Drosophila melanogaster: one gene and its partner. The protein of the gene in region 1 interacts with the protein of each later gene in a pairwise test. Each region holds a gene or a part of one and is shown in the gene's direction. Other genes may lie near its edges.

The links.
Region 2: the proteins of Slimp (region 1) and CG4313 interact in a two-hybrid assay, tested with the Drosophila melanogaster proteins (one large-scale study listed by BioGRID).

What each region holds. Positions count from the first base shown.
Region 1 is NT_033777.3:24,146,863-24,151,120, reverse strand, and holds Slimp (Seryl-tRNA synthetase-like insect mitochondrial protein), read left to right. Parts: upstream 1-2,153; 5' UTR 2,154-2,219; coding exon 2,220-3,614; 3' UTR 3,615-3,685; downstream 3,686-4,258. Other genes in the region: p38a MAP kinase, read left to right, coding at 1-519; p38c MAP kinase, read left to right, coding at 939-2,009; Kal1 (kallmann syndrome 1), read right to left, coding at 3,749-3,925, 4,254-4,258. UniProt on the Drosophila melanogaster protein: Essential protein which may play a role in mitochondrial morphogenesis and function. Has transfer RNA (tRNA)-binding activity and can bind tRNA(Ser) but does not have serine--tRNA ligase activity and does not bind ATP.
Region 2 is NC_004354.4:2,050,874-2,055,932, forward strand, and holds CG4313 (uncharacterized protein), read left to right. Parts: upstream 1-1,810; 5' UTR 1,811-1,872; coding exon 1,873-2,432; intron 2,433-2,943; coding exon 2,944-3,567; intron 3,568-3,630; coding exon 3,631-4,072; 3' UTR 4,073-4,541; downstream 4,542-5,059. Other genes in the region: Sik2 (Salt-inducible kinase 2), read right to left, coding at 5,045-5,059.

The sequences.
Region 1 (4,258 bases):
CCTGAAATAATGCTCAATTGGATGCACTACGACCAAACAGTGGACATCTGGTCGGTGGGCTGCATCATGGCCGAACTAATTACCAGACGAACCCTCTTCCCAGGCACCGACCATATTCACCAGCTAAACCTGATTATGGAGATGTTGGGCACGCCACCCGCCGAATTTTTGAAGAAGATCTCATCGGAAAGTGCACGTTCCTACATCCAGTCACTTCCGCCTATGAAGGGACGAAGTTTTAAAAATGTTTTTAAGAACGCCAATCCGCTGGCCATTGATTTGCTGGAAAAGATGTTGGAGCTAGATGCCGAAAAGCGGATCACAGCCGAGGAGGCTCTTTCCCATCCATATCTGGAGAAGTATGCGGAGCCCAGCGTCGAGCAGACCTCACCACCATACGATCACAGCTTCGAGGATATGGATTTGCCCGTAGACAAATGGAAGGAATTGATCTACAAGGAGGTCACCAACTTTAAGCCCCCACCATCGTATGCTCAGGTTCTAAAGGATGTAAAGTGAACACAAACCATCAAGAATTTAAAGTATTACATAGGCCAATTTATTTGTTATAGCCTTTATGTTCCAACCATGTCTTTTGTACTCAAATTTATCAATTCTTAGTGTTAACTTTTTATTTTGTTTTTTTGCTGCTTACTGCTTATTTAACAAAAAATTTGTTTTATAAAAACATCAAGTTATTCAACTAAAAACCTTATTTTTGTCACCTCTTGGGCAGGATCTTTGGGTCTATAGCATATGTGTGTATCTCCGGTCATACAGATGACTGAATCGAACAAGTTTAGTGTTCTGTCAGTCGAATGTGCACTGATAGATAAGGTGTTGAGAAAAGATAAGAGTTTAGCGGGTGACTAAATGCAAGCTCAGTTTTCTTTCTGTTTCCTTTCGTAGAAGACATATTTTTGCACATTTAATCCAGAATGCCGGAGTTCGTGAGAGTGGCAATTAACGAAAGCCTTTGGGAGTTCCCGGATATATACGAGTTCGTTCGTTTTCTGGGTGGCGGTTCCTTTGGCCAGGTGGCTAAGGTGAGACTACGAGGCACTGAAAATTACTTCGCTATGAAAAGGCTTATGCGCCCATTCGAGAGGGAGGAGGATGCTAAGGGTACCTATCGCGAGATCCGTCTGCTGAAGCACATGAATCATCGAAATGTTATCAGCCTGCTGAACGTCTTCCATCCACCAGCGCACAACATGATGGAATTTCAGCAGGTTTATTTGGTGACTCACCTGATGGACGCGGATTTGCACAGGTACTCGCGTTCGAAAAGGATGAGCGATCAAGAGATTAGGATAATCCTTTACCAAATACTGCGGGGACTGAAGTACATACATAGTGCCGGGGTTGTTCATCGAGACTTAAAGCCCTGCAATATCGCAGTTAATGGAAATAGCGAGGTGCGCATACTTGACTTCGGTTTATCCCGTATGTGCGCAGACAAAATGACGGACCATGTTGGAACTATGTGGTATCTAGCTCCGGAAATTATCTTTTTAAGGGGTCAATACACAAAGGCAATTGACGTGTGGTCGGTTGGTTGCATTCTGGCGGAACTTATCACGGATCGTGTCCTGTTTCGCGGTGAAAACTATGTAAGCCAAATACGATGTCTGATTAACATAATGGGTACTCCGACGAGGGAGTTTATCACCGGGATAAGCATGGAACGTTCGCGTAATTACCTGGAGGGGTACCCGTTACGACAAAGGTGCGATTTTCATCACCTGTTTATGGGTTACGATGTCCAGGCCATCGATTTGATGGAAAAAATGCTCGAAATGGTACCCGAAAAACGTATCACAGCTGCGGAAGCAATGCTCCATCCATACCTTCGGGATCTTATTGAGCCACACCATCATGCCGAAGACACCGCACCAGTCTATGATCAGAACTTCGAAAACATGGTACTGCCTGTAAAATGCTGGAAAGAACTTGTTTCCCACGAGATTCGGAACTTCAGACCTGACCAACTTGATTTGCATTTTTAAAATGCCGTAGTTAATGTAGCAGAAGTAATAAATTTTAAATTAATTAAATGAACAAATTTTTCACAAAATTAAATTAAAAACTGGATATTCATAAATTTAAACATTGAAATCATTGAAATACCCCTATTAAATCTTCCGGATCTGGCAGCGCTGGCGACAGCTGATTTTGCCTTACCGGCTTATTTTATTTTGCATTCGATAATAAAAATAATGTTGAGCCTGCGAAGTGTATTAAAACACTGCCTTTCGGCAAAGAAAACGTGTAGCAGAAACATCTCCGCGCTGTACATAACCGGCGATAAAGCGAACGAAAACTATGTGACTCTGCAGCCGTACATGGACTTCAATAAAACCTTTGGAGAGCGGCAATTTTTGGAGCAGAGCATCTCCAGCCGGGGATTGGACATTCGTTTGGAAACTGTGCTCAGCAAGTACGAGAAGTATAAAACACATCACGCTCAGCTGTCCAAGGTGGCGGAGGAACGCGAAAGGGTGACCAAGCGCCTAAAGGAGCTAACGAAATCTGGTAGTAGTGCGGTTCAGCTGGAGGAGTTGAAAGAGCATGGGAAATCGTTGCGCAATGAGCTAAAGGCTCTGAAGCAGACTCTCTATCCCATAGAGGATGACTTTATTCATGACTATCTGCACTTGCCCAACCTTCTGCATGTCCAGTGCCCTGTTGGAGGGGAGGAAAAGCTTCTCTATCGTCATGGGATACCCAAATCAGAAAATAAGACTACATCCCACTTGGCACGCCAGGAACTTGTACATTTTGTAGACAACAATCGTTACTACTTGATGGAGCAGGCTGCTCTTTTTGACGTAAATGCCATGCAATCCCTGGCCCGCTATTTCGTCAACCACGGGCACTTCATTCAAACCGCCAATCCGGACTTTGTGCGTTGCGTTCTCCTGGAAGCAAATGCGACACCCTTATCCGACTATCATCTGGTTCAGGAAGAGCACCTGCAAAACAAGATCAATACCGCCTATTTGACTGGAGGTGCGTCCTTCGAGAGCTACCTTGGTGCCATGACCAAGCTGTGCGTGTATCCCTCGGTGCTGCCCCTTCGGTATGTCTGCTGTGGTCGGAGCTACAACAGAGCGGAAGCGGATTTGTATGGGCCCATTCCTAGTCTTTATACGGCGACACAAACGAATGCGGTACAAATCTTTGTGGCAACGCAAACGGACAACGAAGCGGACTCCCAACTAGAGCATATTCTCAATCTGGCAACTGATTTCTACAAAGCACTGGACATACCATTCAGGATTTCTTATGCAACAGCAGCAGATCTAACTCCGGCGGAGAGTATCCGGGCAGTCATCGAAGTTTATGCCCCCTCACTGCAGCGCTATGTGTGTGTGGGACGTATCAGCAACTACGGAGACTTTGTCTCTAAGCGAATCCTTTTTAGCACGCGGCGGGAGAAGCACTATGATTTCTTGCACATGGTGGGCGGACCAGTGCTCTACACCTCGCGACTGATAGCAGCTCTTGTTGAGCATGGCGTGCGCTTGGAAGACTGCAAACTTTTGGGCTCTATTAGTCAGAAACCCGTTCATCAGCAGGATCTACAGCAGTTTAAGGACCTTTTCACGTAAAAAACGATCGGTGTTTAGTTTCTTGTTGTTTGTTCTTAGGCCTAACGATAAGTAAAAGTTAAGTTTTACATACAATTATTTACAATCTAATGTAATCTCATGGTCAGCAGTGCGTTGAGCCCATACAGAGAAGGCTAGTCGCTGCACTTGATCTGCAGCTTGGGAAATCTCTTGCGGAAATTTTCACATTTAGGCGTGGTGAAGGTAAAGACATTTCTGGAGTCGTCCAACACGGAATTGGGACTGGAACGGGGAATCCTCAGCACATACGTGGTGTTGTACTTCAGTTTGCTGAACTCCAGCGGGTCTTTCTGCAATCAAAATGAATTTAATGTATCTAACATACGGCAGCATTCGCTTGTTTGATCTTTGTATTTTGGCAAACACCTATGGCATGACCCGATTCTATTCATCAATATTGGGAAAATTTTGATTGGCATTTGACCACGTACTGCCAATTGGAAAGACGTGTTTTCCGTGTCAAATAGAGGAAACACGATTGCGCCTTGTTAAACAATACCCCATGGTCAACGATGTTCCACTAATTTGCCCTTGCCCGGTGGTCCGGCCAATCGGCACGAAGTATTCCGACATGTGGCTCGTGGCTCCCATCAGAGCATCATCAAGGGTATTACTTACTTTGG
Region 2 (5,059 bases), on another chromosome or scaffold:
GCTATCTAAACATGGGCCCGTGCGTGTGCGTATGCGTATAGGCGTATATGTAAGTACGCCGGAGAAGTTTACATTAGTCTGGATCTCTGGATCCGAATTCGAATCCGAAGCGGGCGTCGATTGGCGTTCGAATCGTATTCACAATCATATCAAGAATGGTTGATGAGTGGGGGGGGGGGGGAGGTCTTAGTTTCCACTTTTATGCCCATCCCGCAGGCATTTCCAAGTACAGTGGTGGGCGCAAGGATAGTGCACTTTTAATTTCTTAAAAAATGATGGGATTATACGTTTAGATTAAGCTCGATAAAGCCTTGTATTGTTTTATGAAAACGCATGTTTTCGCAAGTACGAGGATGAGCCATATGTTTCGTTATCACGTATTGTATTCCATCCAGTTCCTAGGATCTTAAACTTAAAAATTTCTCGTCATTTAAGTGAATGCGATATGGCGCTATAATTATATTAATTTCCTCAAGAACTGAATGTTATTTTCTTGGGTAGTCGGCTGCAATTCCCGGACTATTGGCCTGCATGAAAACAAACAACGTATTCGTATTCGTGCCGTTGCCAAAGAGTTTTCCCTAGAACCGCCTGTTTTTCTTTTCAAAAGGCAAACAATACTCAATTCGACCCAACAGACGACCCGCACTCTGACCCTCGGAAAAGTAGAGAGGTTTCCCCCGGCATATTGGCTTGATTAATTAAGACTACATATGTACGCTGACGTCGTGTGACACCAGGCTTCCGGGGTTTGACTCATTATTCGAAACGGGTTATGAGAGCGTGAAAAACGCATAGTCTCGAGTTATGATTCAGGATTAATCGCCCATGACTGGAGTATTCATTCTACGCACAAATTCGATCTATAGGCATATTTATTCGAATGAGTCCCTCTCGCAAAAGTTTTGCTTTTTTTTTCAGTTCCTCGCTTCGAATGGATGCCGCCCATTTATTATCCAGAAAATTGCCAGAGGAAACTATGCAACCACACACACAAACACACACACACATGCACACGACCCAGGAACCGAAAAGTTTTTCATTTCAAAAATGCCGGAGAGGTGCGTATGGCCCGAAATCAGGGCTACGAATAGACTCGATTCATCTGTAGGAGCTTATTCATTGTATTCCCAATATATTCATGTAACCTCTGGCACACCGAATTTTTTAAGCATCCAAGACGTATCGGTCAAGGTATCAATTAAGGAGGGGAACTTCTTACTTCATTGCAAGTGATAAGTCTTGAATTGTGTTAGCAATGCAGATAACTTTCCCCATGCTGCTCATGACTTATATTCCACCAGACTGATGCAAAGACTAGTCTAATGCAAGTATGTATGTTCTGGCTGTCGGAATGCTCAAGTATGTAGCTAAAACGTCGAACCATTTTGGGCAATGGTATCCCTGGTCTAGTATCTGAAACTTTGAAAAACGGCAACAACAGCAACATGACCCCGTCAGAATATCGACGAAAGAGCGAAAGAGTCGAGTGGATTGGGGCGGAATGGGGCGGGAAGGGCGGTTAAGAAACAACACCGAATAGGAACAATGTAAACAAAGCGCCCATTCCACACGCAAATTACCAAATTACCCGATGATGAAGTCAATTGTTGTATACAATAAAAATGTGTGTTGTTGCTGCTGTTGCTGCTCTGAGATTCTTTTGTTTTCCTTTTTGAAAGTTTTTCTAGTTCGCCTGCTGTTTTTTTTTTTTTTCTCAATATTTTGTACGCTTGGCTGGCGGCGACTGCCTTCGGGCCCACTTTTTGGGTGGGAACCATGTCGGTGTATGGATGCGGAGAATTCAGTTTTAGTACAAATTCGGCGCAGGAACGAGCAACGCGTCTTTTGCCGAACACAAAGTGCCGCGCGATGTTCCCACCAAAATCCGGACCAACTCCGCATCCGATCTCGATAGCGCTGCCTCTTTCGGATCCCTATGCTACTGATCACATGGCGGATCAGGACGCGGTGTTGCCGGTACCCCTTTCCGACAGCCTGGACCTGGACGTGGACGTGGACCTCAATCTGAATATGAATCTTAATCTCAATGTAGACGACAGGCGCCAGGTGCTCTTCGAGGGCTATTCGGACGAGCTGCTGACCATCGCCTGGGTGGCCTGCATAGTGTTCATCATTGTGGGCGTTCCCGGAAATTTACTGACCATAGTGGCCCTGTCGCGAGGTCGTCAAACCCGCAACTCCACGGCCATATTCATAATCAATTTGTCCTGCTCGGATCTACTCTTTGGCTGCTTTAATCTGCCATTGGCCGCGTCCACTTTCAAGGAGCGGGCGTGGACCCATAGTGATCTGCTGTGCAGGTTGTTTCCGATGCTGCGCTACGGCTTGCTGGCGGTGTCCCTGCTCTCCGTGTCGCTGATCACCATCAACCGGTACATCATTATCGCCCATCCCAGGCAGTATCCAAGGTGAGAATGGGCCTGCCCATATCGGCATGTCCTGCCTAAATCTTGAAGGGTATTCAGAGTGCCCAACTCTTCCTCTTGGTGCTTATCTGTTTATTATGATACGCATGGTAACCTACCACTTAATCTGAGAAAAAAACCCACACATATGTTATTGTGTTTCTGAACTTATAAACTTTTGAACTTGTTTATAAAAAGGAAAATGTATGGCTTCTCGTAGATGTTTTTTAATTAACTAAAAAAGAGAACATTACTTGCTAGAGGCAAATGCTATAGAAAAGGTCGGTTCAGCGATCTCAATATTTTCGTAATAAACAATTAAACTGAACGGAAATTAATATCTTATAAAATATGAACTACAATATTTCTGGAGAAATAAATAACTAGCTAGTTTTTATTTTCGTGAGCTACGGATATCTTAAAATAATATATTTGAATACAATGAGCATATATTATTATCAAATTAGACATGGTACAAAATACAATTCCCACTGGTTCAAATCCGTTCTTCCAGAATTTACCAGCGACGATATTTGGCTTTGATGGTAGCCGGCACATGGATCACCACGTTTTCCATAATGATACCCACCTGGCGGGGCGTATGGGGTATCTTTGGCTTGGACGTCAGCATCGGCTCGTGTTCCATCATGCATGATCGGTATGGTAGATCCCCCAAGGAGTTCCTCTTCATCGCCGCCTTCATGGTGCCGTGCATCTGCATCGTGATCTGTTATGCCCGAATCTTCCTGCTGGTGCGAAAGGCGGCCATTCGCGCGGGAACCGCTGGCAAGACCAATGTCAGCGATGTGACTCCCAGCTCCGCGCCGCAGCATCAGATTCAAGCCATGGCCACACCAAAGAAGCCGGAGAAGGTGACCACGTCCAGCGGCGAGGCGAACGAACCGATCGCAGGACGACCCTTTGTGGTGGAGGAAAACTTAGCGTATATCGATGACAATGCTTCGACGGACAGTCTGCCGATCTCGTACAGCATACGGAGGAGGGATCAGGACCAGCAGCCACCGCCTGTTGATGCCAATGTGGTGCTCAAGGAGCGGGAGAAGGAAAGGGATCGGGATCAGGAAAAGGTCAGCCTGGGACGCAGTCAAACGCAACTAGAGATGGGCAAAACCCATGGGTGAGTAGCTGTTGAAGGCTTCTTTGCCATTTCACTCAACCTTAATGCGTAAATCCATTCCAGAAAGAACCCTATCACTACATCCCTGCGCACCACCTCCTTCACACGGTTTAGCCCGCGGAAATCCCACTACGCCTCCATGGGCAATACCTCAAATGCATCCTCTATTTACCCGGGAAGGATGAGTGCCAAGGACCGGAGATTGCTTAAGATGATACTGGTAATCTTCGTGTGGTTTGTAATTTGTTATTTGCCCATCACGGTGGCCAAAATATGGAAAAGCGCCACCGAGGTGCACTGGTTCAACATTGCTGGCTATCTACTTATCTACTTGACCACCTGCATCAACCCGCTGATCTACGTGTTGATGAGCTCCGAATACCGAAGAGCTTACTGGAACTTGCTGCGCTGCCATGGCTCTCCAGATACCCAGAAGCAGCGGAATCAGGCCAATGCAAAGCGAAAGCACCTGGAGTCCAATCGGCAGGTGAAGGCCACGACGTGACTCCGACAGATGCCTTAACACCTTCATCGTCCTCCGTCCTAGCGGGATATGATATATGTGTGCCATATGGTAGTAATACGATGGGAGAAGTACCCAAATGTCATGTTGAATGATCTGCGGTAAGAAAAAATTCCTTGATCCCCTGGTGATTATAGTGCCTCCAAAAAAGATTTCTAGTCACATGATCCGGCCGGTCGTCCCTTCCACGCACACACGAAAACACAGATCACCCATATATATCTATATCTATATCTATATAATGTAGGAACTCCAGAAGTATATTGCATTTTATACCAAATGACTTTAATATCTGGTTTACATTTGAATTCCATGTTTAAGAACAATCGATGTTTGTTTAAATTTTGTTTTTTTTTTCTTTGCTTGTCGCTAATTATTGTACCAATACATAATAGATATATCCTTATATGGATACGCCCTTTCTATGCCCCCAATAAATGCTTCGAATAATTGATATATGTAGTTACGTTGTTCTCGTCCACTGTCGTGGGGGCAATACAATAGTGTATAGTGTAATCATAAGTAGAGCTATAGCTTAACGCTATTATTATCAATATACATATTGTATATGTCTGCGTATATGCGTACGAAACTTGGACTACTTAAGACTAGTAACACAACTAAATCATTCAATATTACTGCTTCGCCCGGTTCGGTAATGATTCTATCGGTTCCAATAAACGTGAATCGATGTAACTCCGATTCCGATTCCGACCCGCATTCATATCTATATAGGCTATTTATATGTATGTATGGGTGTATATCGTATATGGATCAAATAATTCATAATTGCGATTGCGAGCTTAATAAAAAGGTGGCCCCGGTCCCGGTCCAGCCCCCATTATAGTTCGATGTCCAGTCCTACCCCTTTTCCTTTCCCACCGACTTCCACTTACAAATCTACTCCCATTCGAATTGCCCCAACCCCTCCACCGAATAACATCACACACGGCCTCAGACTGACTCAAG